3 linked regions of the Callithrix jacchus genome follow. The protein of the gene in region 3 binds, or shares a complex with, the protein of the main gene of each other region. Links are inferred from orthologs where the notes say so. Each region holds a gene or a part of one and is shown on either strand. Other genes may lie near its edges.

Region 1 (10,025 bases), on a different chromosome or scaffold from region 3:
CGGGATCAGTGACCAAACCAGTGCACCTGGGATCTGACGTCCTCAAATCCAATTAGCTTTAGAAATATCAATATAATTCCAGACAAGGAACTCCATCTGGAGACTTTGGAGACATTCAGAAAAGTAACACCTTTTGCCCCTAAAACTGCCATCTTTTCCAAGCCAGAGTTAAAAAACCTATCAGGGCAGTGGTGTGTCTTTCAAACACCCACACTGCTAATGACCCAGAGAAAGACAGCATCTCCAAAAGCAAAGAAAAAGATGGAATCACAGCCAGATATTAAAGTACAGGCTTTGGAATAGCTATAGCTGGTTGAACAAGTTCAAACCTGTCCCCTCCCCAGGAAACTGTCTCAGCATCTCGTATCCAAGCTAGGACTAGAAAAATTAAAACTGAAATTCAAATATGCTCCTAGCAGACTGGCTTATGCTAGAGCTGAAGGCTAACATTTATATGCTATACTAATGAACACAGTTATATTAACAAAGTAGTTTATCAAAGAAGTGAACTATAGACATGGAGCCTGTTTTGCCCTAAAACTAATGTGTGGCACAATGGAAACTTGGCCTAAAGGGCCCCTCTACCCCTGAGATACATGTATCCAGCTCTTAACAGTTACCTTTTCATGTAGGTCATGGAAGTCGCTGTAGCGGTGCTTTACTGTCCACTCATGGTTGCCATCAGTGACCTGGATGATGTAAACCTAAAAGAGGAAACCGACAGTCCTTGTGACAAGGGAGCCTGCAACAAGGAGTCTCCTCCCCCTCCTCCTGCAGCAAAAGCTGCAATTATCTTTCCCAATTATCTTTTATCAGTCTTGCTCTCTGCAACTCAGACCCAAAGTCAGGCTGCCCTGGCCCACCAGCCTCTGCACCTGACCCTTGCTGAGCAGCAGGTCCCCTCTGAGCCTCCAGGGCCCAGGTATTAGGGCTGGGAGGCACTCGGGACAAGACTGTGGCTCCATCCATCAGTAAGGAATGAAAAATGTGATTACTGCTGGCTGGGCATGGTGGCGCACACTTGTAATCCCAGCTACTCAGGAGGCTGAGGCAGGAGAATTGCCTGAACCTGGGAGGCGGAGGTTGCAGTGAGTGAAGATTGTGCCACTGCACTCCAGCTTGGGCGAAAGTGAGACTTTTTCTCAAAAAAAAAAAAAAAAAAGAAAAGAAAAAGGTGATCACCACAAGTCACCTCTTTAGTTTTTTACCTCCTGCCTTCTAGGTAACTCAGAAGCCAGCCTGAGCTGCAGGCAAGACCATTTCATCCAAGGGAGGCAGAGCAGGGCCAGTTCTAGCCTCATCTTCTCTGTTGTACTTCTTTCCAGGTGCCTTGACTACCTCCTGGAAGCAAGTCCTTTTCCAACCCTTTCAACTGGTTCATGGCTGTGATTTCTGCTACTGAGCCAGGAATCAAGGCACAAGCAGTTGACGTCGGGAGGGAGTGGTGGCAACCAAGCTCTAACAGAAGGCAAAATGGCCTAGAGGTTAAGGCAGGCCTGGGTTCAAAAGCTGGTTCTGCCATTTCCTGCAGCTTATGTGTCACTTATGTAAGTAACTTGAAGCCTAAGTTCTCTGTGAGCCTCAATTCCTCCATCTTAGAATCAAGGATCAAGCGAGGAAATGCATGTAAAATGCTTTGTACATGGGCCTGACCCATGGCAATTATTCAAAAGGTAGGTGTGTTAATAATACCCAACTCGGCACACCCGGAGACAGAGGCTGGTAGGGTCCAACCTAGATCACCACCTCCCCGACATACATGCAGAGGAGGGGCGCAGCCCAGAATAAGGAGAGCTTTTTGAAGATGGCCCTCTGGCTGAATGTGCCCATAGGTGGTGGCCAGCCAGCCATCAGCTCAGAGACCTCACCCGTCTCCGTTCCCTCGCCTCTCTGCCGCATGGAGCTGAAGCCTCCTTCAGCCCTGAGGAGCAGCCATTTCTCCAGGCTGGCCTGTTGCTCCAGGATCCACCCCTCTCCTCTTCCCATCCGGCCCGATTCCCTCCCCGTGCCCTCAGGAAAGAAGATAGCCAGTAGAATGGCCCTCAGATGGGGAGGTTAGGATGAGGGCTAGGGATGCAGGGAGGGCCAAGGCCCCGACCCACTCCCTACCCAGCAGGAACAAAGGGCAGGAGGCAGGGAAGTGCTCAATGCGTAGCCCAGGGCCATTTTTTGCCAGGCAGCCCACCAGGCTCATAGGCCTGGCATCCAACCCCATCAGAGAAGGGGACTACCCCCCATTTGTCCTCTGTGCCCCCCATAGCCTAGAAGTGTGTGGGGGCAGCTTGTTGCCCCTTCTCGCTCCCACAGCCCAAAGTCACGAAGATTCCTAAGGTTTCGGGGGTCTGCGCTTCAGCACTGGGACCATCCCCATTTCTCCATAGCCGGGCTCCACCCCTCCTCCGTTCCGGTCTCCGCCAGACCCGCAAGGCGTTAGGTCCCCAGGTCGCTCCGGCACTTCTCAGAGAAAATCTCAACCACGACCTCAGGCTCTCCAGACCAGGGTCTGGGCTCCTCCTCTCTTCAAGGCCTGCGGAGCCTGCCCCTTTTCCCTGATTCCATCCGTAAGAGACCCTCTCCCCATCGTTCTCCTCCAGGACGCCAGTAACGGTCTTCCAGGCCTGGTCCCCTCCAGTCCTAGAGGGGTTCCGTCTCATCTAGACACTCCCCTTCTCCAGGCTCCTTTTATCCCCAGATGCCGCCCCCAACCCGAGCCTCCCTTTCGGATCGCGTACCGCTTTCCAAACCGCCTCCCCGGGCCCCAACAACTCTTCTCCCGGACCTGCGGGGCCCAGCCTCCTCCTCGCAATCGCAGACCCCTCTTCCCCCTCCTCCAAGCTGCGGATGCCGGACCCCTCACCAAGCCCCCCAAGTCGGACTCCCAGTTTCAGCCATCACTCCCGCTTCGAGTGCCCGCGCCCCCAACACACCGTGTAAGTGTCCACGAGCTCGGAGCCCACGACGCGCGCTTCCTTGGCCGGCTCGGCTTCCCGCTCGGGCCCGAAGCTGCGCGCCGCCGCCATGTTCCGGGTTCCACCGCCGCCGCCGCCCGGCGCAGACAGGCCGCAGCAGGGGGCGGGGTCAACGTCCCACCGCCCCCCAGCCCCCGTTGCCCCACGCCCCCACCGCGCGCTGTGCCACCATCTTAGTCCGGCCGCCTTCCAGAGCCTTCTCCCCGCCCCTCGTGCGTGATTGACAGGCACCGCCCACGGCGCGCGTGCGCAGCGCTTTCTTGCGTAATCTCTACCTGCGTGGGGCCACCAACGGTACCCTGCGCAGCCTGCTAGAAACTGACCTCTCGGGTGGTGACCGCTCTGGGAATCGCCCCTTAGTCTCTCAGGAAGAGAGGACAGAAGGTCCCGAGCCTCCAGGCAACACGAAGCAAGTCACTGCTCCTCCTGGCCTCAGTTTACTCCTCCGGATAAAGGAGGCCATAATGGCGCCTCACTTGGCTGTTGGGCTCTTTCTCTTTAGGGCAAGACGGGCTGGAGGTGGAAATAGAACCTGTGCTTATCGCTGGAGTAGGGCGAGAGTGATTCTGGGCCGGTTCTGAACCTCTCCGAGACTCGGAGAGCTCTTGTCAGTGGGGCTTCTTGACAACGGAGTGGGTTGATTCATGCGGGGCCTGGCATGCAGTAGTGCTGGAAGCAAGGAACGTGTTTATCAAGACGGGGCTCTGTACGAAGGAGGGCGGAGACGGAGGTGGGAGGGGTGTGTGCTGCCAATGGGTACAGGAACCTCACGGGATGGCCTGTCAGAGTTCAAAACAGGAGGGAGACACGTTGACCTGGACCCACGAACTACAGTGCTAGAATAGGGAACTGAGTCCTAAACCAGGGGAAGATGAGACCTAGAAGAGGGAGGTGGTAACCTGACTGGAGGGTGAGGAGGGAGAGAGCCTGGCACAGATGGGGCATCTGTGGGGGTGCTGTTGAATTACAGAACAGCTGACTGAAGCCCGAAGGGGGCACTTCTCCCTGGGCAGATGGAAGGTCTGGGGCAGGCGCCTCTGGCAGAAGGGCTCCTGACTACCCTGCCCTAAGGTGGGTTAGCATCGTCCTCTGAGCTTGGGATTTGAGGCTTATCTTGGCAGGGCCCTGTACTCCCAACCCCCACTTGCACGTTGCACCCCATTCCAGAGAGGCTGAGTTAAAGGCAGGGGCTATCTTGGGCAAGCCACCACTCTTCCAGAGCCTCAGCTTCCTTATCTGGAAGGTAGGGGTCATAGCACCGGCCTCCCTGGTTGGTGGGAGCCTGGGCTGCTGTGTTGCAGGGGCCTTGCCTGGGGCCCACTACTTTGTGGCTCCTGTCCTGCCCTGGGCTCATGCTTTCATTCATTCCAGAAACCTTTTCAGAGTCCCTTGGGGAGTGTGGGGGACAGGAGCGAAAGAAACCTGGTTCTTGTAGCACTTCATCTGCTCCCTGCCTTGGGCAGAGGACGCAGGGACTCAGGCCAGCCTGACATCACTGGGCCCAGAGGAGGGGCTGGAGGATACTACACGCAGGGGTGGGCTGGGCTGGGCTGGCTGGGAATGCAGTGTGGGGGGGGGGGCAGGGCTATTTAAGTCGAGGGCCGGCTGGCAACCCCAGCAGGCTGTCGTGTGACCCACCAGCATGGATGACATCTACAAGGCTGCGGTGAGGGACAGGGCTGGGTAGGGCTGGGTTGGGCAGGCCCACTGGGGGCTCACTCATCTCAGAATGGGGGGCTGGTAGCCCCAAGGAAGCGGTGGGGGCCCAGGAGAGAGTCTCTGTACCTTCAACCCAGGCCCTCACAGGGACAGTGGTTCTGATGTTTGAAGATGCAGAAGGGGTAGGGGCTCAGGGTCTGAAGGGAAGCTGGTGTTTGGAGATGCAGAAGGGGTGGGAGTTGAGGTCTGAAGGGTGGTGGAGGAGGTCGCCACTTTCAGCATCATGTCTCACTCTGTTTCTAAGTGTCTGTAGTCTGTGGCACTGTCTCTCAGCCACATGTCTCTGCATTTGTCTCTGGACATTTTTGCCTTTCTTTTTTCATCTCTCTTCCTCCTAAGTTGTCTCTCTGAGTCCCTATTACTGTCTCCCTGTCCCCAACCTCCATTTCTGCCCCTCACATTCTGCTTCTCACACACTCACAATCTGCCACTCCACTCCAGCCCTTTGGTTGGTCGAAGATGCTTTGGAGGGTGGAGGGTGTGAGGGGAGGGGCCTGAGTCCTGGGCTGGAGATGGGGCTTTGAAGTTCGAGGCAGGGAAGTTTTGGACATGAGGGAGAACCAAGGAAGAAGGGACAGAGAACTGAGGCCCCAGCCCCCATCGTGCCTGGCAGGCTCAGGGCTCAGTGGCTTAGCTGGGGGTGAGAATGAGGGAATGAGGGCTAGAGAGTGGTCACCCCAAGCCCCTGCAGCCTCCTGGGTCACTGAGGGACTTGAGATGCTGTTCCATTCCTGGATGCTGGTGACCTCCCACTACCCCAGAACAAGGACATCCTGGCCTGGGTAGCTGTCCCCAGGGGAACCCCTCCCTCAGCCTCCCTCACTTCTGGGCAGGGAAGGGCTACAGCCAGCTCTGGGGGCATGCCTGCTTATCCTGTGGGAGTCCATGAAGCTGGGGTGGGGGCAGCCCTCCACCCAGTGCCCATACAAGGCCTGGCGGAGCTGGGGACTAATTTTGGCTCCTGAGGCGGCACTAGTAGGACAGGGGGCCAGATAACACTGCCCCACCCCCTGCATGCCAAAGTCCCCAGAACAATCACCAGGTTTAACTTTGTTCCTCGTTAAAAATAGCCCAGTGGCCACCCTGGTCAGGTTACAGTGGGTAGCTTGTCTACCCCCACATTGGTTTATTGTCCCAACTTGAGGGACAGCTGTTCCTTGGGCCACCCAGCTTGAGTTTCATCACGGGCCAAAAGGGTATTGAGTGGTCACTGACTATTGTTACTGAGGGTCACCTTGGCCCTGAAGGGGGTGCCCACCTGTCACACTGGCCCTGAGCCCAGTCTTAGTGAGGCTAGCTGGGGCACATCAGGGCTTTGTGGGGAGGGAGGGAGGACTGAGACCTCTGTTCTGTGGCCTGGAAATAGCTTGCTTTCCCCAGCTGCAGCTCTCACCTGTGGAATGGGTTGGTTTCAGCAGCAGCAGCTATGTGTGAGGCTGAGCCCTGAGAGTCCCTTTCCTTTCTAGGTAGAGCAGCTGACAGAAGAGCAGAAAAATGGTGAGAACCCCTATCACACGTGCGGGAGACCACCAGGGCCAGGTTGGGAGACCAGGCTGGGGAACGTGGGGACCCCTTACCAGAAGAGGAGCACAGACCAGAGACCAAAGGCTAGGTCCCTCTGCTCTGATCTCAGAGAGGTCTCTGAGGGAGGTGGGCAGGTTGGCAGGTGGCCCCAGGAGTCTGGCCCTCTGAGGTCCTGGCTGTTGAGCCCTGGCTATTGTGCCCCCCAACCTCTGTACACAGAATTCAAGGCAGCCTTCGACATCTTCGTGCTGGGCGCTGAGGATGGCTGCATCAGCACCAAGGAGCTGGGCAAGGTGATGAGGATGCTGGGCCAGAACCCCACCCCTGAGGAGCTGCAGGAGATGATCGACGAGGTGGACGAGGATGGTGAGCCCCTCCTCCCCAGGCTCTAGAGGAAGCCCAGCCAGCGTGGGGCTGGGATGCTGGCTCTGCTTAGCCGGAAGTGGTTTAGCCCCTCCGATCCTCAGTTGCTTCATCTAGAAAATGGGCATAATGGCCACAGAAGCCTGGCATTTGCATCCTCACACCAAATGCCAGGCTTCTGTGGCCACTCTTTGGGCTTGAGTCACCTGCAGTTTCCAACCTGGCCTCTGTAACTGCCTCCCAGGCAGTGGCACAGTGGACTTTGATGAGTTCCTGGTCATGATGGTTCGGTGCATGAAGGACGACAGCAAAGGGAAATCTGAGGAGGAGCTGTCTGACCTCTTCCGCATGTTTGACAAGTGAGCACGTGACCCTTGACCCCTGACCTTGACCCTCACTCAAGCCCAGCTGGGGTTAGGAGGGCAGTCTCAGATTCTAGGCCTAGGGACCCTGCAGCCTCTGCTTGATGGGGGAGAGGGATGCCCCATCTCCCAGCGTCCCTGTTCTTCCTAGGGGGCATGGTTGTGGTCCCTCTTGCCCTCCCTGCAGCCCTACCCTGGGCCCCCTCCCCACAGAAACACTGATGGCTACATTGACCTGGAGGAGCTGAAGATGATGCTGCAGGCGACAGGTGAGACCATCACGGAGGACGACATCGAGGAGCTCATGAAGGATGGAGACAAGAACAACGACGGCCGCATCGACTACGACGGTAAGCGGGTGGGTGGGCTGATCCCCTGCCACTGTGCCCTGCCAGCCCCACCCCTGACCCACACCTGCCCCTCTTTCCACAGAGTTCCTGGAGTTCATGAAGGGTGTGGAGTAGATGCCGACCTTCACCCAGAGCTGCCCATGCCCAGCCTTCAACTCCAGCCGAGTCCTGGGGCTGGGGAGCGGGTTGGGGTCCCAGGACCTGAGTCTGGTCATGTCCTCAACTCCAGATCCCTCGACTCCCTCCCCAGCCCCGTCCTGGGGGATGCAAATAAAGCCTGCTCCCTGGAGGCCTGCTGTCTGGCTCTGGTGTCCCCAGGCCATGGACTGCTCCCCAGGGCCCACTCTTACCCACTTCCTTCCCTGTCCCAGGCGTGGTGACTGCAGAGCCTGATACTGGACTGTGGCTCCACACTGCCTTCTGTGGCGGGTGACATGAGATTGGAGACTCCCATCTGGCATGCCCTCTATAACTCCTCATGCCCAGGCCCTATCTCCTGGGAGTCAGCATCTGGAGTCTGGGGGTGTCTAGAACCTACATTTTAACAAGTTCCTGGGGGTCATCACTTTGGTCAACCACGTGGCAGCCTAGGGGTCCTCTCCTTGGAGAGAGTGTTCACTGTGATACACAGCTAGGCCCTGGATGCTCCGTGGCACAGCAACCCTCTGCGGTCTTTCAGCCATGGCTGGAGTGGAGCTGAGCCTGTGGGGTCCCTGCAGGCCCACAGTGCCAGTTCACCTGCCATCTGACTTGTATTTCCTGCCAGCAGCATTGACTCCCAGGGACAGAGGGGCATGGACTCGGCTCTGCCTCCCCTCACCTGTTTGACAGGTGGCCCAGAGAGGTGCAGGGAGCTGTCAAGGTCATCCACTGAGTGTGGGAGAGAGCAGAGCCACCTGGCTTCCAGCCAAGGGCCCTGTTGGATGGGCCACGTCCAAATGGGCCTGATTTCCAGTTCCTGTGAAGCTCAGAGTCTTGCTTCCTGTGGCCCAGTCTCTCTCCCTGACAGGGACGGAGGCCCAAGGGCCTGGCAGCTCTCAGCTTAGTGGGAGCGCCCAGTCCAGAGCTGCAGCCATGCAGTGATGCTGCCTCAGGGTTGTGGGCATTGGGGGCTGCAAGGAAGTGGAGGTGTCAGCGGCAGCGCTCGCAGGAGGGACAGCTGCTAGCAGTGCGCAGGGTGCAGCCAGAATGCTGCCAGCTGTCCTTGCCCCACCCAGCCACTCCACTGTCTCTGCACCTGTGCCCCAGCTTTGGCATTCCCCAGACAGGCCTGGCATTCCAGAGATGGTCTTGGAATTCTAAAGATGCCTCTAGTGGAGGCCAGAGCTAGCAAGAGCTTTCTGGACCCTGGAGAGACCTGAGGGGAGAGGAGAAGGGTCCCTTCAGGCCTGCCCTTGTGAGCTGGAGAACTGGGGACCTCTGCAGGCACCCAGAGTGACCCAAGAAGGACGGCATCCCAGGAGAGAAGGCAGGGCCACATTGAGCAGCACCATCAGCCAGTGCGCCACTCAGTGGTTCATTCATGTACCTACCATGTGCCCAGCACAGGGCTGGGTGCTGGGGCCTGTCACAGTGAGGCCCAGTCCCTAATCTGATGAAATTTTCTTTCTTTTTCTGACATATGAGACAGAATCTCACTCTATCACCCAGACTGCAGTGCAGTGGCATGATCTCAGCTCACTGCAACCTCTGTCTCCTGGGCTCAGGTGATTCTTATGTCTCAGTCACCTGAGTAGCTGGGATTACAGGCCCCCGGCACCATAGCCGGCTAATTTTTTATTTTTAGTAGAGACAAGGTTTCACCATGTTTCTCAAGCTGGTCTTAAACTCCTGAGCTCAAGTGGTTCGCCTGCCTTGGCCTCCCAAAGTGCTGGGATTACAGGTGTGAGCCACCTCACCTGGCCTTATTAAGATGGGGTTTCACCATGTTGGCCAGGATGGTCTCGATCTCCCAACCTCATGATCCACCCACCTCGGCCTCCCAAAGTGCTGGGATTACAGGCATGAGCCACTGTGCCTGGCCAATCGGTGGAGTTTTAAGGAGATGAGTACAGTGGGAAAACCAGCACGGGCTAGAGTGGAGACTGGAGGCATGGTGGGCCCATGAGTTAGAGTGGTCTGGGAAAGCTCCCTAGAGGAGCTGACACTGTGAGATCCAGGGGAACCACAGGGAACCAGCCATGGGGAAAGACTGGGAAGGTCTCAGGAGCAGAAAGGCAGTGTTGGGCTGGAAGCAGAGCCCCACCAGTCTTGGGAGACATGGGCAGTGCCAGGCCTCTTGAGGACCCAGTTTATGTGAGGGGTGAGGGCTGCAGAGGACAGAAGGGGTGGGAGAGAGGGAGCCAGGAGCTGGCCTGAAACGGGGGCAGGCTCTGGGCAAGAAAGCCCAGTGGCTCCCAATACAGTGGGGTGCTGGAGGTTCTTTTTTTTTTTTTTTGGTCTGTGTCAAAGTTGAGATGCCCCAGAGACAGGCTGATGGTAAGGTCAAAGCCAGGCGGGAGCTAAGGGAAAGGACAGAGTGAGCCCTGTGAACGTAGATGCCATCAGAGTAGGAAGCCTTTTCCTGGCCCTGGTCACAAACAAGGGCCCTGGGTTGAGAGTTTGTGGATGGGTGGCATTCTGCGTGGGCAGCCCAGGAGAGGGCCCTGGGAGCCAGGAAGGAAGGAAGAGGCATGGGTGACAGCTGATGTCCCCAGGGTTTGGGAACTTGCAGACCCTGAGGCATTGGCCGCCTGAGC
Region 2 (9,953 bases), on a different chromosome or scaffold from region 3:
TCTGCCAAGACAGACCTGCACATCTTCATCTTGAGAGGCCTCCCTCATGCCCGGCCCCTGCCTCTCACAGCAGCACCCCTGCCTCCTCTCATTGTCCCTGTTCCCTTTTTGCCTCTGGATCTGTTCGGGCAGAGCTTCTGGGTTTGGGAATATTTGCAAGACTCAGCCAGCTCCTTCCCAGCCTAGCCTCTTGGGGCTGGGACCTTCTTGCCTCACTGCAGGTGCAGCAGATGCTGGGACCCAGCCTCTGCCCAGAACACAGCACAGGTGCACATCAGCACTATGGGGCCTATGTCCTGGCCAGAGGCCTCTGCTCCTTTTTGCTCCCATCCAGGGTCAGGGCAGGGCATCCTCAAGAACTCCAGAGTCACCTGTCTTGTCGGCTCCCAGCAAGTGCCTCTGAGTGTCTGTGATGTCTCCATCACCGAGGCCTGGGCCCACCCATCTTGGTCCCTGGGACCTGTGCCCAGCCACCGAGGTTCACTCTGTTCAGATTGGGAAGGAGCTGCTGTGCATCTTCCACATGCCCTGTCTCCCTGCTTTGTTCTCCCCTCTCTTCCCTGGCCTGCTGCCCTGGCCGGGAGCTAAGTGCCTTTTTGTGTGCAACCACTTACCCTTTCTCTGAGAAACCTGCTCTCAGGAAGAATCTAATAAACTCATTCACTCTCAGGTGCAATTGACTGGTGAGACCTTAAAAGTGATTTTCTTTCTAGAGGCCTTGCTTTCTAGCGGAGATCATCTGAAGTGTGTGAGGATTATTTGGGCTGGGGTGGAGGATCGTCATTTTCCTAGTCCCCACTCTTCTCACATTAAGGTGGTGGCTTGTTGCTCCACAATCCTAGCTTGGTGACTGCGGAACTGCCACATACAGGGCCAGGCCTACCCCCTTTCCGCACAGACTCCTTCCAGCCCCCCTCCCCATGCTCCTAACATCATGGCCCCTGTGAGCTTGGAGAATGATGAACCATCAGAATATAGAACCAACCAAGCTAGGAACATCAGCATGGTGCCGTGTTAACCCCTTAAGGCTATAGTTTAAAACTTCTCAAAAGTTTTCATCATTAGAACTCCCCGTCTTGACTGACCACTTTAGTTTTGCTCAGAAGCAGCCGGGGGTGCAGCCAGGTGCAGAGCCCCTTGCCCAGTCCTCCCTTTTGCATGCCTGGGGAAGCTTCTCAGAGCACGACCCTTAACACGGCTCCTCAGGGTATCACTAGTCCAGTTCCCCAGGTGTGTGGGAGGTGAGCTCTACCCCCACTCTGTGACAATGGGTGAGGGCTCCTCCGATCTGTGTCCCAGGGGACAGGCCCTCAAAGCCCCATATGCAGAGGTCCCAGTGCCCCAGGCTGGCCCACCTCCGGCCAGTGAGTCTTCTGTGCCTGAGTGAGGGATACTGGGACCTGGGGGCCCTGCCCCGAGTGCCCCCACCCACTGCTGGGGCTGGAGCTTTGTGAATGTTCTAACTTCACAGCCGAGAGTTGAAGGACAAGGTTGGGGCAGAGCTGAGGAGCAGGTGAGTCCTGCCTGGGGCCTCGGGACGTCTAAAGATCTCTGGCTCTGCCCAGACCTCAGGTGGGACCCTGAGCCATTCCCTTCTCCCAGCCTCAAGCAGATGACCTCAGAGGACTTTCACATGCTCATTCCCTGAACTTTTTTTCTGAGACAGAATCTCACTCTGTTGCCCAGGTTGGAGTGCAGTGGCGTGGTCTCAGCTCACTGCAACCTCCGCCTACCAGGTTCAAGGGATTCTCCTGCCTCAGCCTCCTGAGTAGCTGGGATTACAGGCACATGTGACCACACCCTGATAATTTTTGTATTTTTAGTAGAGATAGGGTTTCACCATGTTGGCCAGGATGGTATCGAACTCCTAACCTTGTGATCCGCCTACCTCGGCCTCCCAAAGTGCTGGGATTACAGGCCTGAGCCACTGCGCCTGGCAGCCCTAAACTTTGTAAAGTCCTCCTGACAGGTGAACTTTCCCAGTAAGCAAAACTGTCCCCACACACAGTCAAGAGAGTCTCCTGGAAGCCTTTCCTGGCAGTGGGGCCTAACCCTGGAGTAAGAGCCTGCAAGGACACTGAGAGGCCTGTTCCTGCAGCTGCAGCCTCGGCAGGGCCTTCACACCTGCACCCCGCCCTCGGTGCCCAGTGAGGGCGGGCTGCTAGGGGAAACGCCCTGGGGCACCACAGCACTGCCTCTTCCCCTCCCCTGTGAATCCGAGAAGTGAGGGCCCTGCCCTCATTCCTGCTGGGGACACAGCCAGTTAACAAGGAGACCAGGGTGTGCCCAAGATGACCTCAGCTGGGGGTAGATGAGTGGTAGCAACTGGGTGTCTGGGTGGGGCGGAGGCCTCGAGGGGTGACATTGGGCACCCTCTGGAGACAGAACAGTGTTTCCACTCACCATTCCTGGCCCCACCCTCCTGCTCACTGGCCATAGGGGCCCTGTGACCCCACAAGTGGCCCCGTCCTGTTGTGGAGCCTCAAATTTACACGCATCATTTCAGTATAAGCTTCTTCCCATTCCACTCTGGCTCTATTTTCTCTTTACATCCCTTTGCAAGGACAGGGACATCAAACAAATGGGCTGGAAGTAACCCTGCTATGCCCAGGAGTGGTTGCTGCCTGGGGGCTGGGTTTCCTCATCTGAGTGGCTGTCTCAGCGCTCTGAATGGAGCTCCTGCTGTAGAGCAATTAGAAGCTGTACGCGTGTGGGCCATGACACCAAGGATCCGCTGGGCTTTTCCCATGGGGCTCTGTAGTGATCTAGGTGCACAGAGCCCTCTTGTAGGCATTCATGCAAATAAACTGTGGCCTGTTGGAAGGGTTATTTGACTTATGAGGAGCAGTAACCCACCTTCAAGTTAAAAAAGGGTTTGGGAAAAGTGCTGATAAATTCTGTTATTCCAGGCTAGGACCCAAGGCAAGGCTGGCCCTGCTCATGGGCTAGGATGAGGCGGAGGAATGAGGGGGCTCCCCTCACTTTCCTGTGGATAGTCCGGCTCCTTCCTCACCATCCCTTGGGAATCTGTCCCTTCATCTGCCTCTCTTTCTACAAAGTCTCCCTGCTTCCCTGTGGGCCTCCTCAGTCTCACAATGCTGGCCAGCAGGTGGTTGGCTTCAGCTTGCCCTGCCATGGGTCTGCTGGCAGCGTGGAGGCCCACGTGGCAGGGGATAAGCCTGGAGCTGGCCATTCAAGGCCAATGGACTCAGAGGCCACAGGGAGCCATGGAAGGGATGGAGTCAGCTGAGTGACGGGACAAGGGTCTGATAGCAGCATGGGTGTGGAGCAAATGGAAGTGCCCTGTGCAGAGGACCTTTTCAAGGACATTAGAGGTGGAGGCAGCATAGTAGCTCCTGAGGTAGAGGGACAGCAAAGACTTTGAGGACTGGGAAGGCAGGACACATGGTTGTGTGAAGGGAGAAGATGGCAGAGAATGGCAGAATTGCTTTCTTTGTCCATGGAGAAACAGAGGAGTGTGGGTCATGAATGGCAAGATCTGGAAGTGCCAGGGGAGTCATGGGGGAGGGGAGGGCCTGGTCCAGAGCCAGGCAGGACCTAGGCTGTGAAGCTTTAGAGAGATGGAGGGAGTGTCAGCTCAGCTGCCCACTGGCTTGCTTTCCTCCTCTCTCTTTTTCATCATCTACCGAACCCGCAATGGGCCAGCCCTGGACATACATGTGCACGTGCATGGTCAGACGCAGGCAAGCGCGCATACCCCTGGCCCTGACCTCTGCGTCTGCAGTCTAGTATGGTTGGCAGATCATGGTCCTGCACTGGTTGATTTAAAGCCTTTGGGGGATGACCTTTGGCAGTCCTCACCATCATGCTCACACAATGAGCCGGCTATTCAAGGTTCTTGACTGGAAGTTCTACCTTGTGTCTGACCTCCTGTAGCAGTTTAAGCCCATTGCCTGTGAGGAGGGTGTGCCACGTGGCTTTGGGGGTCACGGAGAAGACCCACCTTGCAGATGTCCTCACTGAGGCTGGTAGAGCCGGCAACCTGCCCAAGGCTGCTCCGCCCATTAGGAGCCAGTAGCCCAGAAGACGTCTTTACCCCCAGCATCCGTTCAAGTGGAGCAGCACACAGCTCTTGTCCTCTGCCTTCCAAGACCCTGGTGCTGAGACTTATGGAGTGTCTTGGAGGTTACCTCTGTCCCCAGCCTTGCTCCCGGCCGGCCCTCCCTGGTGTGGGTTGTCGGCTTCTGCTTTATCAGGATTCTCAGGAGGACAGCTGGTTTATGTTGCATGCCTGCTCTCTGCGTATCTGCTCTGGTTTTAAATAGCTTATCTGAGCAGCTGGAGGACCACATGGGCTTATATGGCGTGGGGTACATGTTCCTGTAGCCTTGTCCCTGGCACCTGCCAAAATAGCAGCCAACACCCCCCCACCCCCACTGCCATCCCCCTGCCCCACCCGTCCCCCGTCGCGCATTCCTCCCTCCGCAGGGCTGGCTCACCGGGCCCCAGCCCACATGCTTGCTTAAAGCCCTCTCCATCCCCTGCCTCACCCAGTCCCTGCTGAGGCTGAGCAGACACCTCCAGGATCTGTCGGCAGCTGCTGTGCTGAGGTAAGGCTTGGGCATGGCTCTGGGGAAGGGGCGAGCAGAGAAAGGATGGGGTGATGTGAGGGTCTTGTGCCCTGGCATTCTTACCCAGAGTCCGCCTTTGTCCGCAGACATCCATGGCCCCTCCTGGTGGAGGCCACACTTCAGAGGAGGGCTTGCCAGGACTGGGCTCAAGATTAGTGCAGTAGAGCAGAGGGAGAGAGAGAATCTCATGGTAGCCGTTGGAGACCAGTGTCAGAGGGCCTGCCGCTGAAGATGTAGCGTTGTGGACTCCTGGATGAGTTACTTTCCCTCCCCATTCCTCAGTTTTCTCATCTGTAGAGTGGGCTAAGTATTTGCTAGGCTTCTGCTTGCTCTAAATACAATGGGGCTCTAACCAAAAGGGACTCCCCCAGATTGCTTGTTCCAGGCCGAGGGGCACCTATACCTTCCAGGCAGGTTCTTCTGAGCCCCAGAGAGCAGAGTGAGACTGCAGCCCTGTCAGTCAGGTGAGTCCCCTGGTCATATTCTCAAGGCCAGGGACTCAGAAGCTGTCCCACTAGGAAAGACGGTGTGTAGGGCCCGCTGCAGCGCCTCTCCAGGCTGACGCAGGAATTCCACTGGATGTGCCTGACTCAGTGCCACTTGCTCCCAGACAGGACCTGGAACTGAGCTGCACTTGGGGGGCAGATGGGCAAAGGCCCTGCTGGGAGAACCTTTACTGGGGCATGAGCCCAGCTGGTTAGCATTAAAGGGTTTAACTTGGGTCCCTAAGTGTAACCCTTGTCTCATTGCACCCCAACACCGCCTCTTGGGACAGGCCTTGCTCTATGCCCAGGAGTGGTAGAGACAGACTCCCTTGGTTTTTAGTTTCTTCCGGGCAGGCTGGGGACTATCTGGGGAGGGGGTTGCCGGGCATGTAAGGAATTTCAGAGCACATTCCTGGCCTGCCGTAGCCGGGAAGCGACCTGCCCTCCCAAATTCCTCCTCTGACCCGTGTCTTACAGGGCAAATACTCTGTCTCTCTGCAAAAGGGCAATCTGAGAGGATCAGGTTGCCTGCTGCCCCTACTTTCTGCCCCCGCTTCCACTCCCCCTGCCCTCTCCCCATCCTCTTACCTTCACTTTCCTGGTGGCCTAACAACTGTTGGCTTAGGAAAATCCCAGCTGAATGCTGGGGACAGGGATTGAGGGGCGGGGCCCGTGTTCCTCAGAAACTCAGAGACTCTTTCTACAAGACCAGAACTGAAGCCTCATCTGTTTTACAGTTGGGTAACTGAAGTCAGAGACGCTAAGTGACTGAAATAAGTCCATACAGCAAAATCTAAGTTTTAAACCCAGATCGTTTTGACCAGAAGGTCGGTGTGCTTTATGCCTTCTATTGTCTTTGCTTTACTCCCCGAGAAAGGTGACTCTTGGCTGTGAACGTGTTAGGCTGGAAAGCTGCCTGTGGAAGTGGGTGGGGCTTGGGTGCGAGGACACAGGTGTCTCAGGACATTCTGTTCCCTTGCCCTGCCAGGTTCTTGACCCTCTCCCATTCTGCAGCCCCCAGTCTCCGCCACCTCTTCCCCCTGCATCAGGTCCTGGACCCTCTCCCATTCTGCAGCCCCCAGTCTCCGCCACCTCTTTCCCCTGCATCAGGTCCTGGACCCTCTCCCATTCTGCAGCCCCCAGTCTCAGCCACCTCTTTCCCCTGCATCAGGTCCTGCCTTTGAGCCACTGGCTTGGTGGTGTCCTCTGGGCTGGCTGCAAGCCCTCCTCCATCCTCCATGTCTGCGTGCTATTTTTGGGAGCTGAATGGTGCTCCCAGGAACAGGGAGAGGAGTCAAGCTACTCTGTCCTCCTCTGAGCCCCAGCACCATGCCCAGTGGCTCTGAACTGGAGGAAGGCCAGGGGAGGAGAGGAGAGAAAGCTGGGAGCTATGAGGTTCCTCCGAGAATTTTCTCCCTCCCACTGAGGGACAGGCTCCTCCTGGGGCTCAGGTAGCAGCACCTCAAGTTCTCAAGTCACCAGTTCTGGCAGCTCCCCTGGGGCTTTGGGCAACACTTGTCACCCACACCCATCCTGGGGTTAGGAAGGCTATTCTTTGGCCACACCCATCCTAAGACTCATTTGGAGACTCTCTGGGGTTTGAGTCTTTTTTTCAGCAGAATGAGGCTTGATTCCCCATTATAACACCTCGAACATTTGATTTCTCTTCTTTTCCCCCACCCACCCCACCCTGGATGTTGGGGCAAAACAGTGGCTCAGAGCTACTGTCCAGAGCTCCTTGTAAACAGGGCTCCTCCCTCACTGTCGTCATCCTGCTCCAGCAGAGGGAACAGTGGAGGGACCGCTCCGGTGCTGCCCTGCTTGTCCCTAACCTAGCAGGACTGGACATAATGGGAGCAGGGTCTGAAGACAGTTAGTCCAGGGCTGCAGTGGGTGCTGAGTCTGGAGAAGTCTCTACCCAGAGGGGCAGCTGGGGAGTGGCAGCTCCCTTGGAACCACTCAGCCTCAAAGGGGCTGCCTTGCGGCAGACATCATCCCACCTAACCAGAGCCCTGGCTCTTGCTGGATGTCCACAGATGAGTGCCTGGGGTTGTTCTCAGCCACTATGGGGAGATGTGCAGGGAGAGATGGTGAGGGAGTGAGCAGGACTCTCTGTGTGCCTCTGTCCTCATCCTGCCCCTTGGGTCTGAAACTGGTGCTGCAGCATTGGCAGATGTGAGTGGGGCAGGGGGCGGGCAGCAGAGGAGGAGCATTGGAGGGTGGTCCTGAGCATCACTGTGATTCTTCTCCCCCCTCACTTTGGCCTCATTCTCACATTGCACTGTCCATTCTCTCCCTTGAAAGCCGACATCAGGGAGGTCGTGGGGCTGGCTTATTGCACCGCAACAGGGTTGCTGTTCACGTTTCCAACAATGTGACTGGGTCCCTGGAGCAGGGCACTGTCATGGCCCAGGAGGGCTGGGTCACAGCACTTATTAGCTGAATGCCTACACTGCACACCAGCTCTGTTCCTCACACCTGCCCAAGAAGAACAGCAATTTCACAGCAACGGGAGCTGAGATGTAGGGAGGCTAAGCGACCTTGCCAAGGTCGCAGGCAAACGCATGCTAGAGCCAGCATTCAAAGCGAGATTAGTCTCACACTCAAGTGCTTGCTCTCTGCCCCCTCCCTGTGATTACACGCGCACTGCAACACCTGACATTGCCTAATGCCTTCCCCTTTTGTTAATGTCAACTGGAGCCTCACAAAGACCCTGAGTAGCCAGGATGTGGACACTTTATCTCCATGAGACAGAGGAAGGACTGAGGTCTGGAGATGTTAAAAAGACTTGCCTAAACACCCTTAGCAAGCTAATGGAAGAGGATCTGAATCCAGATTATCTGTTCCCGGTGCAGTGAGAAGATGATCTCAGGATGAGTTCCCCGGGGAACATTTTTTTAATCGGAATTTTCATTGAGATAATTAAAGACTAATACACAGTTGTCTTTAACAGCGAGTGTTTACACACTTTACCTAGTTTCTCTCAAGGGCAACGTTTGCAAAACTAGTACAATATTAAAACTGAGATTGGACATCAATACAACTGATCTATGATTTTATTCAGATTTGCCCACAATTGCACTGCACTGTGTGTGTGTGCGCACCTGTGTGTGTGTGTGAAACTCTATACAACTTTAACCTATGTGGGTTCATGTGTCCGTCGCCACAGTGGACATGCTGAAAAGATCCCCAACCACAAGGATCCCTCCTGTGCCCTTTCTTTCTTTTTATTTTTTGAGACAGGGTCTCACTCTTCTGACCAAGCTGGAGTGCAGTGGACCATGGCTCACTGCAGCCTTAACCTTCTGGGCTCAAGAGATTCTCCCACCTCCACCTCCTGAGTTGCTGGGACTATACTCATGCGCCACCACGCCCAGCTAATTTTTGTTTTTGTGGTAGAGCCGGGATTTTGCCGCATTGCCCAGGCTATTTCAAACTCCTGGGCTCAAGGGATCCTCTTGCCTCAGTCCCTTCAAGTGCTGAGATGACAGGTGTGAGCCACCACACCCGGTCCACGTGTGTTTTCACGGCCACATTCGTGCCCCTCCCAGCTGCCTCAGAACCCTTGGCAACCACGAATCTGTTCTCCGTGTTGCCATTCCAAGAATGTTATACTAATGGAATTCTACAGTATGTGACTTTCTGAGTTGGCTTTTTCTCCTCAATCAGTGGAATTCCCTGGAGATGAATTCCCTGGGGGTGCATGCCAGTTGTTGTATGCATACACAGTTTATTCCTTGTTATCGCTGAGTTGTATTCCACGGTACAGATGCTACAGTTGGTTTGACCACTCTCCCAGGTCAGAGCTAAACAGATCCTGTGGAGTGGGGGTGGGCAGTGTGGAAGGAAAGGTTGAGAAACTGCAGACATTGTCTTGAGTGTTACAAATGGGAAACAGCATCCCAGGCAGTATTGCCTGTTCAGGGGCAAGGAATGAAGTGGACATCAGCAGGTGGCCTTGCTGCCATGTGGGTGTCACTATCTCCACTTGGCAGGGAGGAAATAGGCTTTTTTTGCTGCAGGTCACACAGCTAATAAGAGGTGGAAATAGATTCACCCTCGGCCTCTCTGATCTCTGTATGACAGGGGACAGAGGTCTTCTGAGGAAGACAGGCTTCCCTTTGCACCCGCACTGACTGTGTTCTCTTTCTGGAAGGAGAGCAGAGACCATGTCTGACACGGAAGAGGTGGTGGAAGAGTACGAGGAGGAGTGAGTATCTGGAGCATCCTGGCTGAGTGGGGTCCCCCTCCCACCACCCTCACACCTGGTCCGGGAGCCGCCCAGCTGCCCTGGGATTCTGGATGGAAGTAGCTGTGTGCATTTTGGGTACCCAGGGGAGAGATATAGCCATTTCCTTTCCGTCTGAGTAGCCAGGATATGGAGACTATCTCCGTGATAAAGGTTGTAGATCCCAGGCAGAGCATAGGCTGGGGGACTTTGGGAAACACAGAGGTTCAGCTCTGGGGTCATCAGGGTCCTTGGCCTGTCCTGACTGGGGGACAGGCCATGAACAGAGAAGCTGAGATGTTGGGTCTCCGGAAACTGACTGAGAAAGGTTCAATGACTCTCCGGAGGTTACAGAGCTGATTGTGCCCCCAAAACCCAGGTCAGAACCCTGTGTTATCACTTTGTCTCGGATCCCTGCTCTCCCCTGGCAGTGACCTGCCCACAGTCCTAACCCAGAGGGAAACCAGGGTGTGGAACACTGCCAATCCAATAACTACAGAGAATGGTGGTCACCAGGGAGGAGTCAGAGGTCTAGGCACAGCTCCTGACCTCACAGAACTTACTCTGCCATTGAGATGTTAAGCCATAAACTGGGGGAAGAAATTAGCCAGTGGGGCCCGGTGTGGAGGGTGGGCTGTTGGTAGTGCA
Region 3 (9,670 bases):
GGTAACCCAGGGACTGCAGGTAACCCAGGGACTCCAGGTAGGCCAGTGACTGCAGGTAGGCCAGGGACTCCAGGTAGGCCAGGGACTCCAGGTAACCCAGGGACTCCAGGTAGGCCAGGGACTCCAGGTAACCCAGGGACTCCAGGTAACCCAGGGACTCCAGGTAGGCCAGGGACTCCAGGTAACCCAGGGACTCCAGGTAGGCCAGGGACTCCAGGTAAGCCAGGGACTCCAGGTAGGCCAGGGACTCCAGGTAGGCCAGGGACTCCAGGTAACCCAGGGACTCCAGGTAGGCCAGGGACTCCAGGTAGGCCAGGGACTCCAGGTAACCCAGGGACTCCAGGTAGGCCAGGGACTCCAGGTAACCCAGGGACTCCAGGTAACCCAGGGACTCCAGGTAGGCCAGGGACTCCAGGTAACCCAGGGACTCCAGGTAGGCCAGGGACTCCAGGTAACCCAGGGACTCCAGGTAACCCAGGGACTCCAGGTAGGCCAGGGACTCCAGGTAACCCAGGGACTCCAGGTAGGCCAGTGACTGCAGGTAGGCCAGGGACTGCAGGTAAGCCAGGGACTGCACGTAACCCAGGGACTCCAGGTAACCCAGGGACTCCAGGTAGGCCAGGGACTCCAGGTAACCCAGGGACTCCAGGTAGGCCAGTGACTGCAGGTAAGCCAGGGACTGCAGGTAGTCCAGGGACTCCAGGTAGGCCAGGGACTCCAGGTAACCCAGGGACTCCAGGTAACCCAGGGACTCCAGGTAGGCCAGGGACTCCAGGTAACCCAGGGACTCCAGGTAACCCAGGGACTCCAGGTAGGCCAGGGACTCCAGGTAACCCAGGGACTCCAGGTAGGCCAGGGACTGCAGGTAAGCCAGGGACTGCAGGTAGTCCAGGGACTGCAGGTAAGCCAGGGACTGCAGGTAGGCCAGGGACTCCAGGTAACCCAGGGACTCCAGGTAGGCCAGGGACTCCAGGTAACCCAGGGACTCCAGGTAGGCCAGTGACTGCAGGTAGGCCAGGGACTCCAGGTAACCCAGGGACTCCAGGTAGGCCAGTGACTGCAGGTAGGCCAGGGACTCCAGGTAACCCAGGGACTCCAGGTAGGCCAGTGACTGCAGGTAAGCCAGGGAGTGCAGGTAGTCCAGGGACTCCAGGTAGGCCAGGGACTCCAGGTAGGCCAGGGACTCCAGGTAACCCAGGGACTCCAGGTAGGCCAGGGACTCCAGGTAACCCAGGGACTCCAGGTAGGCCAGGGATTGCAGGTAGGCCAGGGACTGCAGGTAAGCCAGGACAACAGGTAAGCCAGGGACTGCACCCTCCACGCATTTCACATTGGAGCGTGGACTGACATGATGTGGAATGCGGGGGCCAATGTCGGCTTCTTCTTGACATTCTGTCTGTTTTTCTCTCTCTCCTAAATCCTGAGAGCGTGCTTAGGATTCTTAATTCCAGTAGTAGAATTCTAGTCTTATCTGCAGGGGTCTATGCTATCCAAGAGTATTCTCCCCGGGTTCTGGGCCCCAGCTCCTGCCTGGACACCATCCCGGACCCCAGACCCTGGCTGGGCCTCCTTCCAGCCATCCTCCCACCTGGCCCTCCCTGAGTGTCTGTCGGGCAGGATATGTCACATGTGGCCCTGGCCACCCACTCTCTTTCCCTCTCTAGAGTCTCAGTTGCCTGATCTATACAGTGGGTCTCTGCCTGCTGGGCTGACCTTCCCAGAATTTTCCAGAAATCCACCTCAGAGGAAAGATTTTTTTAAAAGCTTCAAGGGGACAAGGAATGTTATCTCCAAGCCCTGAGTGCCTGCCCAGCTCTGCCCAGCTCTATGTATGTCTCTGGCTTTCCACCCTCATGGCAGCACCTACAAGAGGTGACCCCTTTATCACCTTCCCCAGCAGCCCCCACCCCGGAATCTTTCACCATCCACTTCCTACCCCTCGATTCTGCTCAGACTCTCCACCACAAGAGCTGCTACAATGGCCGGTTCCAGCTTCTCTATGTGGCCTGTGGGTAAGTGGGGAGGCAGCCCAAGCCCCATTCCCTCCTCCCTCAGACCCAGGAGTCCAGGCCCCAGCCCCTCTCCCCTCATACCCTCATCTCCTCCTCCCTCAGACCCAGGAGTCCAGCCCCAGCCCCTCCTCCCTCATACCCCCATCTCCTCCTCCCTCAGACCCAGGAGTCCAGCCCCAGCCCCTCCTTCCTGGTACCCCAGAGTCCAGACCTCCTGCCCCCTTCTTCCCCAGGACCTGGACTCCAGTTTTGCAGCCCCTCCTCCCTCAGTGTCTGGGTTCCCAGAGCACCGTTCTCCCCGTGGATTTGGAGCTGAATCTCAGCCTGTCCTCTGTCCTCTCTGCAGGATGGTCCATCTTCTCAGCCCTGAGCTTGGGGCCTGTGTGGCACCGGGAGGGAACCTGATTGTGGAATTAGCCCGGTGAGCCAGTGGGGTGGAGGGCGGGGCCTGTCCTGGCTGGGGGTCCGAATCTGGGTCCCTGACATGGCGCTTCCCATCTGCAGGTACCTGGTGGACGTGCGGCGGGAGCAGCTGCAGGGCTTCAACACCCGGGTCAGGGAGCTGGCTCAGGCAGCTGGATTCTCTCCACAGGCCGGGGTCAGGCCCTCAGAGACCTTCGCCCGTTTTTGCAAGTCCCCGGAATTGGCTCTGGGTGGCACTGACCCAGCTGTGGAACCCAGAACTCTGCCCCTTGAAGTCCTGGCCCAGCCTCTTGAGGCCCGCAGCCCCGCCCCCGAGGACCTGACCGAACCTCTGCAGGGCGGGACCCCACTCTGAGCCCTGCCAGCTGCCCTCTGCATCTCCAGGTTCTCTCCAAGGTTCTGGCTCTGCCCCCAGGGGCTTTGCCCCCGTCCGACAGTGAGTCAGACTCCAAAACTGGAGTCTGACCTGACCCCTAGACGCCCCTTATCTCCAGCTTCCAAAGTCAGGTTGTAGAATTAGAAGCCGCTGATACCATTTTAAACCTGCCGCTGGAGCCCTCACGTTTATTCTCATCATTCCCACTCAGTACCCGTCACCCCCACCCCAGGGGTGTTGCTAGATTTTCAAATTCCATTTCTGGGATTCTATGGTCTATTCCTAGAATTCTAGATTGTTCTCTCAGAATTCCAAATTCTGCTTCAGAGACTCTAAGCCCAGCCCAGGATTTGACCCTGAGTCTCAGGCCCTTGACTTCTGCCCCCTTGTCCCCAGGTACCCTGTGGCTGCCTGGGGTCTAGGGTCTCTCCTCACCAGGGCCTGGTCAGCACCCAGGTGGTTTGAGTAAAGCAAGTGTGTCCACCCCTCCGTGTGTCCAACTGTCTTTGCTGTCCTATGTCTGTCTCCAGGGCTGGGGGAGAAAGGCCTAGGAGTGGTGGACAGAGGAAGTCAGAAACCAGGTGCCTGGGTTTCTGAGTGGACAAGAGATGGATTTCTCAGTGCTGCAGGCTGAGAGTGGGCCCCCAGCACAGCTGCACTCCAAATTAAACACAACATTGTTGAGTGGCCTGGACTCTTGGGTCTGAGGGAAGAGGGGTTGGGGTCCTGGACTCCTGGGTCTGAGGGAGGAGGGGTTGGGGTCCTGGACTCCTGGGTCTGAGGGAGGAGGGGTTGGGGTCTGGACTCCTGGGTCTGAGGGAGGAAGGGTTGGGGTCTGGACTCCAGGGTCTGAGGGAGGAGGGTTTGGGGGCCTGGACTTCTGGGTCTTAGGGAGGAGAGGCTGCTGGCCTCCACTCCTGGGTTTGAGGGAGGAGGGACTGGGAGCCTGAACTCCCAGGTCTGAGGGAGGAGGCGCTGGGGGCCCAGACTCTTGAGTCTGAGGGAAGAGGGGGCTGGGGGCCCAGACTCCTTGTCTGAGGGAGGGGCTGGGGTCCCCCGGAGTCCTGGGTCTGAGGGAGGGGGTGGCTGGGAGGAAGGGCATTCTCTGGGTCTGAGGGAGGAGAGGTCTAGGACTCCAGGATCCGAGGGAGAAGGTTCTGGATTCCTGTGCCCCGAGGTAGCTGGTGATCCAGCTGGAGCAGGGCCCGCCCCGCCCCTCACGCGCCCCATTATCTCGCATGGTGGGCAGGGGGGAGGAGGACGCAGTATATTTAGTCTCTGTTGTCCGCCCTTTATCTCAGTGTCCTCGGGGAGGCTGGAGCAGCCCGGAGGAGACTCACGGTCCCTGGGACCTTGAAGGTCACCCGGGCCGCCCCCTCACTGACCCTCCGAAAGTCCCTGTCCTCGCCCTGCCTCCTGCCATTCCGGGTCTGAGTCTCAGCATGGCGGATGAGTGAGTGACTTCCCAAGGCAATGAGAGTTGGGGCGACCTCCCGGGGTCCCAAGAGGGGTCCGAGCTGAGAGGCTGGACCCCTGGCTTGCAACGGGAGATAGGGTTGGGACTCTTGGGTGAAAAGAGGAAGTGGGTTCGCGAGTCAGACTCCTGGAACCCGAGGAAGGGGAAGCGGTGTCCCCCAACCTCTCGGTCAGAGGGGTCTCCCGGGTCCCTTAGGAGACAGACAGGACACAGCCCACCACTAACCCCCTCCCCGGTTTCTCTCCTTGCAGGAGCAGTGATGCGGTGAGAGCAGCGGGCTAAGGCGTGGCTGGGACCCCCAGGGCCGGGGCGGGCACTGCAGTAAGGGGTCTGGGGGGAGGCTGCCGCCCTAGGAGAGGGTGTGGTGTGGTGAGGGCTGGGTAGGGTCTTGGTGGTGATGGGGCCCGCACTCCTCCCACCCCAGGCTGGGGAACCTCGCCCCGCACCAGCCCCGGTCAGACGCCGCTCCTCCAACTACCGCGCGTACGCCACGGAGCCGCACGCCAAGGTGGGACGGGGTTTCCAGGGGGCCGAGTACAGTCGTAGAGACCCGAGACCCTGGGGGCGCGGGGAGGAGCCAGGGCAGCGAAGGGGGTGGGGCCTACGTAGAGGCGCTTCAGGGGCGGAGTTTTGCAGAGGGTCGAGCTCGGATTGGTGAGAGCCGTCTGCGGGCGGAGCTCTGTTGCCCTTAGACTTGCTTAGGGATAGATGGGCAGTGCCTAGCCAAAGGCAGAGACCCGGATTGGTGGATGGGAATGAGGGGCGTGGCCTCCCGTAGACTCAGGGCTTAAGTTGGAGGCGGGCCCAAATCTGGACCGGCTGGGGTTGCTGGGGGTGTCGTGAGGCCCCCTCCACTTTCGTCTCCGGATCCCCCTCCATGATCCTTCCTTGCTCCATCTCACCCTGGCAGAAAAAGTCTAAGATCTCCGCCTCGAGAAAACTGCAGCTGAAGGTGAGGACAGGCGGGAGAGGAAAGGAGCTTGGAGCTGCCCAGGGGGCGGAGCTTGGTAGTGGGTTTGGCTTCGGGCAAGTGGGCGGGGTTTGGACGTTCGGGCCGTGGCTTTAGCGGGGAGTCCCGCTCCGGGCAGACGGGTCTTCAGAAAGGTAGAGACCGAACTCCAGTGGCTGGAAGAGCACAGGCGGCTTCCCCAGGCCTGGTCTTTATTCTGATGCCCTGGCTGGGCTGCGCTTCCCTCACACCTCTCCGCAGACCCTGATGCTGCAGATTGCAAAGCAGGAACTGGAGCGAGAGGCGGAGGAGCGGCGCGGAGAGAAGGGGCGCGCCCTGAGCACCCGCTGCCAGCCGCTGGAGTTGGCCGGTCTGGGCTTCGCGGAGCTGCAGGTACCCGCTCCCAAGGCAGGGACTCGCCCAGCCTGGGATCCGAGGTTTCTAGTCCCCGGAATTCAGCAGTACAGTCCCTATTCCCCCTTCTGCTCGGGACCCAGGGGTCCAGTATGACTGTCCTTACCCAATTCTGTATGGTTCGTGGGACTCCTGGCCCCTAACACCCTTTGTTTGCAGGTCTGTGGAGTCCTGGCTCCAATCTGCTCCTTCAGGACCGTCTGGCCCTCCTTTCCCAGATAGGAGCCCAGGCCCCCAGCCCCTCCTCCCTCAGACCCAGGAATCCAGGTCTCCAGGCCCCCAGGCTTCCCCCAACAGCACACGCCACATTTCTCCTCCAGGACTTGTGCCGACAGCTCCACACCCGTGTGGACAAGGTGGATGAAGAGAGATATGACATAGAGGCAAAAGTTACCAAGAACATCACCGAGGTGGGACGCATGGGCAGCTTGGGTACCTTCAGGGCAGGGTGAGATGCCTGGGACTTGGTCTCAGCCTGACCCCTTGTAGCTGCTTTTGGCTGCACATCCCAGGAGACCCAGGACAACCGTGAGCCTGGCAGGGCTGGGGCAGAAGGATGAGTGTGATATAGTCAAGGAAAGCTGCTCCAGGCAGAGGGAACAGCACATTTGAGGCCACGGGTTGGGAAACAGAAAATGTGTTAGTGGACATGTTCAGGGCATCACATGTTGGTAAATTAGCTCAGGGAATTGCGGTCCTGGAAATGTGATTGGCCAGGGAATTGTGATTTGCACTTAGCTGGACCAGGTTGTGCCACTGGTTTTGAGAGGTGAGTCTGGAGTACATTGGGAGGGTGATTCAGTTCCAGGATTAGAAGCTTAGACTGGGAGAGGATGAGCCGGGCGCGGTGGCTCACACCTGAATCCCGGCACTTCGGGAGGCCGAGGAGGGCAGATCAACTGAGGTCGGGAGTTCAAGACCAGCCTGACCAACATGGAGAAACCCTGTCTCTACTAAAAATAAAAAATTTAGCCGGGCTTCGTGGTACATACCTATAATCCCAGCTATTAGGGAGGCCGAGGCAGGATAATTGCTTGAACCCAGGAGGCAGAGGTTGCTGTGAGCCAAAGTCGAGCCATTTGCACTCCAGCCTGGGCAACAGCAAAACTCCATCTCCAAAACAAACAAACAAACAAACAAACAAAAAAGGCCAGGCACGGTGGCTCACACCTGTAATCCCAGCACTTTGGGAGGCCAAGGCGGGTGGATCACCTGAGGTTGAGAGTTCAAGACCAGCGTGACCAACACGGAGAAACCCCATCTCTACTAAAAACACAAAATTAGCCAGGCTTGGTGGTTCATGCCTGTAATCCCAGCTACTCCAGAGGCTGAGACAGGAGAATCGCTTGAATCTGGGGGACGGAGGTTGCAGTGAGCTGAGATCGCGCCATTACACTCCAGCCTGGGCAACAAGAGTGAAACTCTGTCTCAAAAAAAAAAAAAAAAAAAAAAAAAAAGGTTAGACTGGGAGCTTAGGCTAGGAAGATACTGGATGAAGCTTTGGTACTGGAAGACAGGATAAGGAGAATAAAAATGGAGCGTAGGATGGAAGAGCTGGGTGAGGGGGAAATGGAGGGAGATGTCTCCACCTGTCTGTATGGCTGCCCCTAGATCGCAGATCTGACCCAGAAGATCTTTGACCTTCGCGGCAAGTTTAAGCGGCCCACCCTGCGGAGAGTGAGAATCTCTGCGGATGCCATGATGCAGGCGCTGCTGGGGACCCGGGCTAAGGAGTCCCTGGACCTGCGTGCCCACCTCAAGCAGGTGAAGAAGGAGGACACCGAGAAGGTGAGTGTAGGCTAAGGCCATGAGAGAGGATGCTGAGGGGAGGGGCGCTGCGTGCCAAAACCCTAGGGCCTGGCCTGAGGGCACACAACTAGGGGTCCTCAGAAATGCAAGAGGAAGACAGGAAGTAGAAGGGGAAGACAGGAAGTGCATTAGGGCTACAGGAAGTCCATGTAAGAGTAAAGAGGTGTGTGAAGGGCCAGGTGCGGTGGCTCGTGCCTGTCATCCTCGAGGTTAAAACAATTTTTTTTTAGTTTCCTTTTGTTTTCTGAGACGGAGTCTCATTCTGCTGTGCAGGCTGGTGTGCAGTGATGCCATCTCAGCTCACTGCAACATCCATCTCCTGGGTTCAAGTGATTCTTGTGCCTCAGCCTCCTGAGTAGCTGGGACTACAGGTGCACACCACCACAATGTTTTTTTAATTTCTACAAAATTTTTTTAAAAATTAGCCAGTTGGCCAGATGCAGTGGCTCATGCCTGTAATCCCAGCACTTTGGGAGGCTGAGAGGGGAAGATTATAAGGTCAGGAGTTCGAGACCAGGCTGGCCAACATAGTGAAACCCTGTCTCTACTAAAAATACAAAAAATTAGCTGGGCATCGTGGCAGGCACCTGTAATCTCAGCTACTTAGGAGGCCAAGGCAGGAGAATCGTTTGAACCCAGGAGGCAGAGGTAGCAGTGAGCCGAGATCATGCCATTGCACTCCAGCCGAGGCAACAGTACAAGACTCCATCTCAAAGAAAAAAAATTAGCCAGTCATGGTGGTGGTGTGTAGCTTCTCAGGAGGCTGAGGCAGGAGGATCACTTGAGCCCATGAGATTGAAGCTGCAGTGAGCTATGATTGCACAACTGCACTCCAGCCTGGGCAACACAGTGAGACCCTATCTTTAAAAAGAAGAAAAGAGGGGTGGGCACGGTGGCTCACATCTGTAATCCCAGCACTTTGGGAGGCTGAGGTGGGCAGATCACCTGAGGTCAAGAGATCAAGACCAGCCTGGCCAACGTGGTGAAACCCCATCTCTACTAAAATTATAAAATTTAGCTGGCGTGGTGGCGTGCTAGTAGTCTCAGCTTCTTGGAAGGCTGAGACAGGAGAATCGATTGAACCTGGGATGTGGAGGTTGCAGTGAGCTGAGATTGCATCACTGCACTCCAGCCTAGTGACAGAGGGAGACTCTTGTCTTAAAAAATAAAAAATAAAAAAAAGAAGAGAAGGAAGGAAGGAGGGAGGGAGACAGGAAGTGCATGAGGCAGACAGGAAATGGAGGGGAAGATAGGAAGTGCAAGGAGACAGGAAGGGGAGGGGAAAAAGAAATGCATGAGGGACACAGGAAGTAGAGGGGGAAGACAGAAGAGTATAAGGGAAGGAGTGTGCAGGAAAGCAGGAAGTGTACAAGGGAGACAGAAAGTGCATGAGACAGAACGGAAGTACAGGGAGGAGACAGGAAGTGGAGGGGGAAAGACAGGAACTGGGTTGGGAAAGACAGGAAGTGCATGAGGGAGACAGGAAGTGGAGGGGGAAAGACAGGAAGTACATGAGGGAGATAGGAAGTGCATGGGGAAATTGGCAGGGATTGTCTTGAGGGGACAGGAAGTGTTCTGGAACTAGATACTTGGACAGACATCCAGCGTAGAATGGCCCTACAGGCTGGAGGGAAGGTGGGGATTCTTGAGAGACTGCAGACCAGGAAGAGACCCTAACCTCTGACTCTTATCACCATCCTCCAGGAAATCCGGGAGGTGGGAGACTGGCGCAAAAACATTGATGCACTGAGTGGAATGGAAGGCCGCAAGAAAAAGTTTGAGGGCTGAGCCCTCCTGCCTACTGCCGCGGCCCTGAGGAGGGCCCTGAGGAATAAAGCTTCTCCCAGAGCTGAAAGTTATTTCATGTTTATTACCCAGGGCTTAGGCATGAAAGGGATGGGAAAACTGAGGGCAGGGCTCCCCCAAAGCTACACAGCAGGTCGGGGATTGGATGAGTCTCCCACATGGAGCACTCTTGGCTCTGTTATGGAAGAGAATCCCAGGGATCATGAATTTGGAAAAGAGAGCTTTGGGCTTTTTTTTTTTTTTTTTTGAGATGGAGCCTCACTCTGTTGCCCAGGCTGGAGTGTGCAATGGCACAATCTTGGCTCACTGCAACCTCTACCTCCTAGGTTCAAGCAATTCTCCTGCCTCAGCCTCCCGAGTAACTGGAACTACAGGTGCCCGCACTGTTCCCAGCTAATTTTTAT

The links. The genes of interacting proteins can lie anywhere in the genome.
Region 1: the proteins of TNNI3 (region 3) and TNNC1 are in contact, whole or in part, in a crystal structure (PDB 4Y99), measured with the Homo sapiens proteins. The link is inferred for Callithrix jacchus from reciprocal best matches to the Homo sapiens genes TNNI3 and TNNC1. Residues at the interface, in NP_000354.4 of Homo sapiens: Glu32, Pro33, His34, Ala35, Lys36, Lys37, Lys38, Ser39, Lys40, Ile41, Ser42, Ala43, Ser44, Arg45, Lys46, Leu47, Gln48, Leu49, Lys50, Thr51, Leu52, Leu53, Leu54, Ile56, Ala57, Lys58, Glu60, Leu61, Glu64, Arg136; in NP_003271.1 of Homo sapiens: Asp3, Ile4, Lys6, Ala7, Glu10, Gln11, Thr13, Glu15, Gln16, Glu19, Phe20, Ala22, Ala23, Ile26, Phe27, Val44, Met45, Leu48, Gln50, Glu59, Met60, Glu63, Glu66, Asp67, Gly68, Asp73, Asp75, Glu76, Phe77, Met81.
Region 2: the proteins of TNNI3 (region 3) and TNNT2 are in contact, whole or in part, in a crystal structure (PDB 4Y99), measured with the Homo sapiens proteins. The link is inferred for Callithrix jacchus from reciprocal best matches to the Homo sapiens genes TNNI3 and TNNT2. Residues at the interface, in NP_000354.4 of Homo sapiens: Arg68, Glu71, Lys72, Ala75, Leu76, Arg79, Gln81, Pro82, Leu83, Leu85, Leu88, Gly89, Phe90, Leu93, Gln94, Leu96, Arg98, Leu100, His101, Arg103, Val104, Asp105, Val107, Asp108, Glu109, Glu110, Arg111, Tyr112, Asp113, Ile114; in NP_001263274.1 of Homo sapiens: Glu214, Lys217, Lys218, Ile221, Leu222, Arg225, Arg226, Lys227, Leu229, Ile231, Asp232, Leu234, Asn235, Glu236, Leu239, Arg240, Ala243, Lys244, Leu246, Trp247, Ile250, Tyr251, Leu253, Glu254, Ala255, Glu256, Lys257, Phe258, Asp259, Leu260.

Annotation. Positions count from the first base shown.
Region 1 is NC_133516.1:34,979,381-34,989,405, reverse strand, and holds TNNC1 (troponin C, slow skeletal and cardiac muscles), read left to right. Parts: upstream 1-4,585; 5' UTR 4,586-4,611; coding exon 4,612-4,635; intron 4,636-6,154; coding exon 6,155-6,185; intron 6,186-6,431; coding exon 6,432-6,578; intron 6,579-6,819; coding exon 6,820-6,934; intron 6,935-7,150; coding exon 7,151-7,287; intron 7,288-7,369; coding exon 7,370-7,401; 3' UTR 7,402-7,576; downstream 7,577-10,025. Other genes in the region: NISCH (nischarin), read right to left, coding at 621-704, 2,928-3,020. UniProt on the Homo sapiens protein: Troponin is the central regulatory protein of striated muscle contraction. Tn consists of three components: Tn-I which is the inhibitor of actomyosin ATPase, Tn-T which contains the binding site for tropomyosin and Tn-C.
Region 2 is NC_133520.1:28,385,627-28,395,579, reverse strand, and holds the start of TNNT2 (troponin T, cardiac muscle), read left to right. Parts: upstream 1-4,513; 5' UTR 4,514-4,571; intron 4,572-9,233; 5' UTR 9,234-9,246; coding exon 9,247-9,287; intron 9,288-9,953. UniProt on the Homo sapiens protein: Troponin T is the tropomyosin-binding subunit of troponin, the thin filament regulatory complex which confers calcium-sensitivity to striated muscle actomyosin ATPase activity.
Region 3 is NC_133523.1:48,017,293-48,026,962, reverse strand, and holds TNNI3 (troponin I, cardiac muscle), read left to right. Parts: upstream 1-4,110; 5' UTR 4,111-4,253; coding exon 4,254-4,264; intron 4,265-4,539; coding exon 4,540-4,552; intron 4,553-4,712; coding exon 4,713-4,796; intron 4,797-5,198; coding exon 5,199-5,240; intron 5,241-5,498; coding exon 5,499-5,630; intron 5,631-5,971; coding exon 5,972-6,061; intron 6,062-7,262; coding exon 7,263-7,439; intron 7,440-9,164; coding exon 9,165-9,248; 3' UTR 9,249-9,315; downstream 9,316-9,670. UniProt on the Homo sapiens protein: Troponin I is the inhibitory subunit of troponin, the thin filament regulatory complex which confers calcium-sensitivity to striated muscle actomyosin ATPase activity.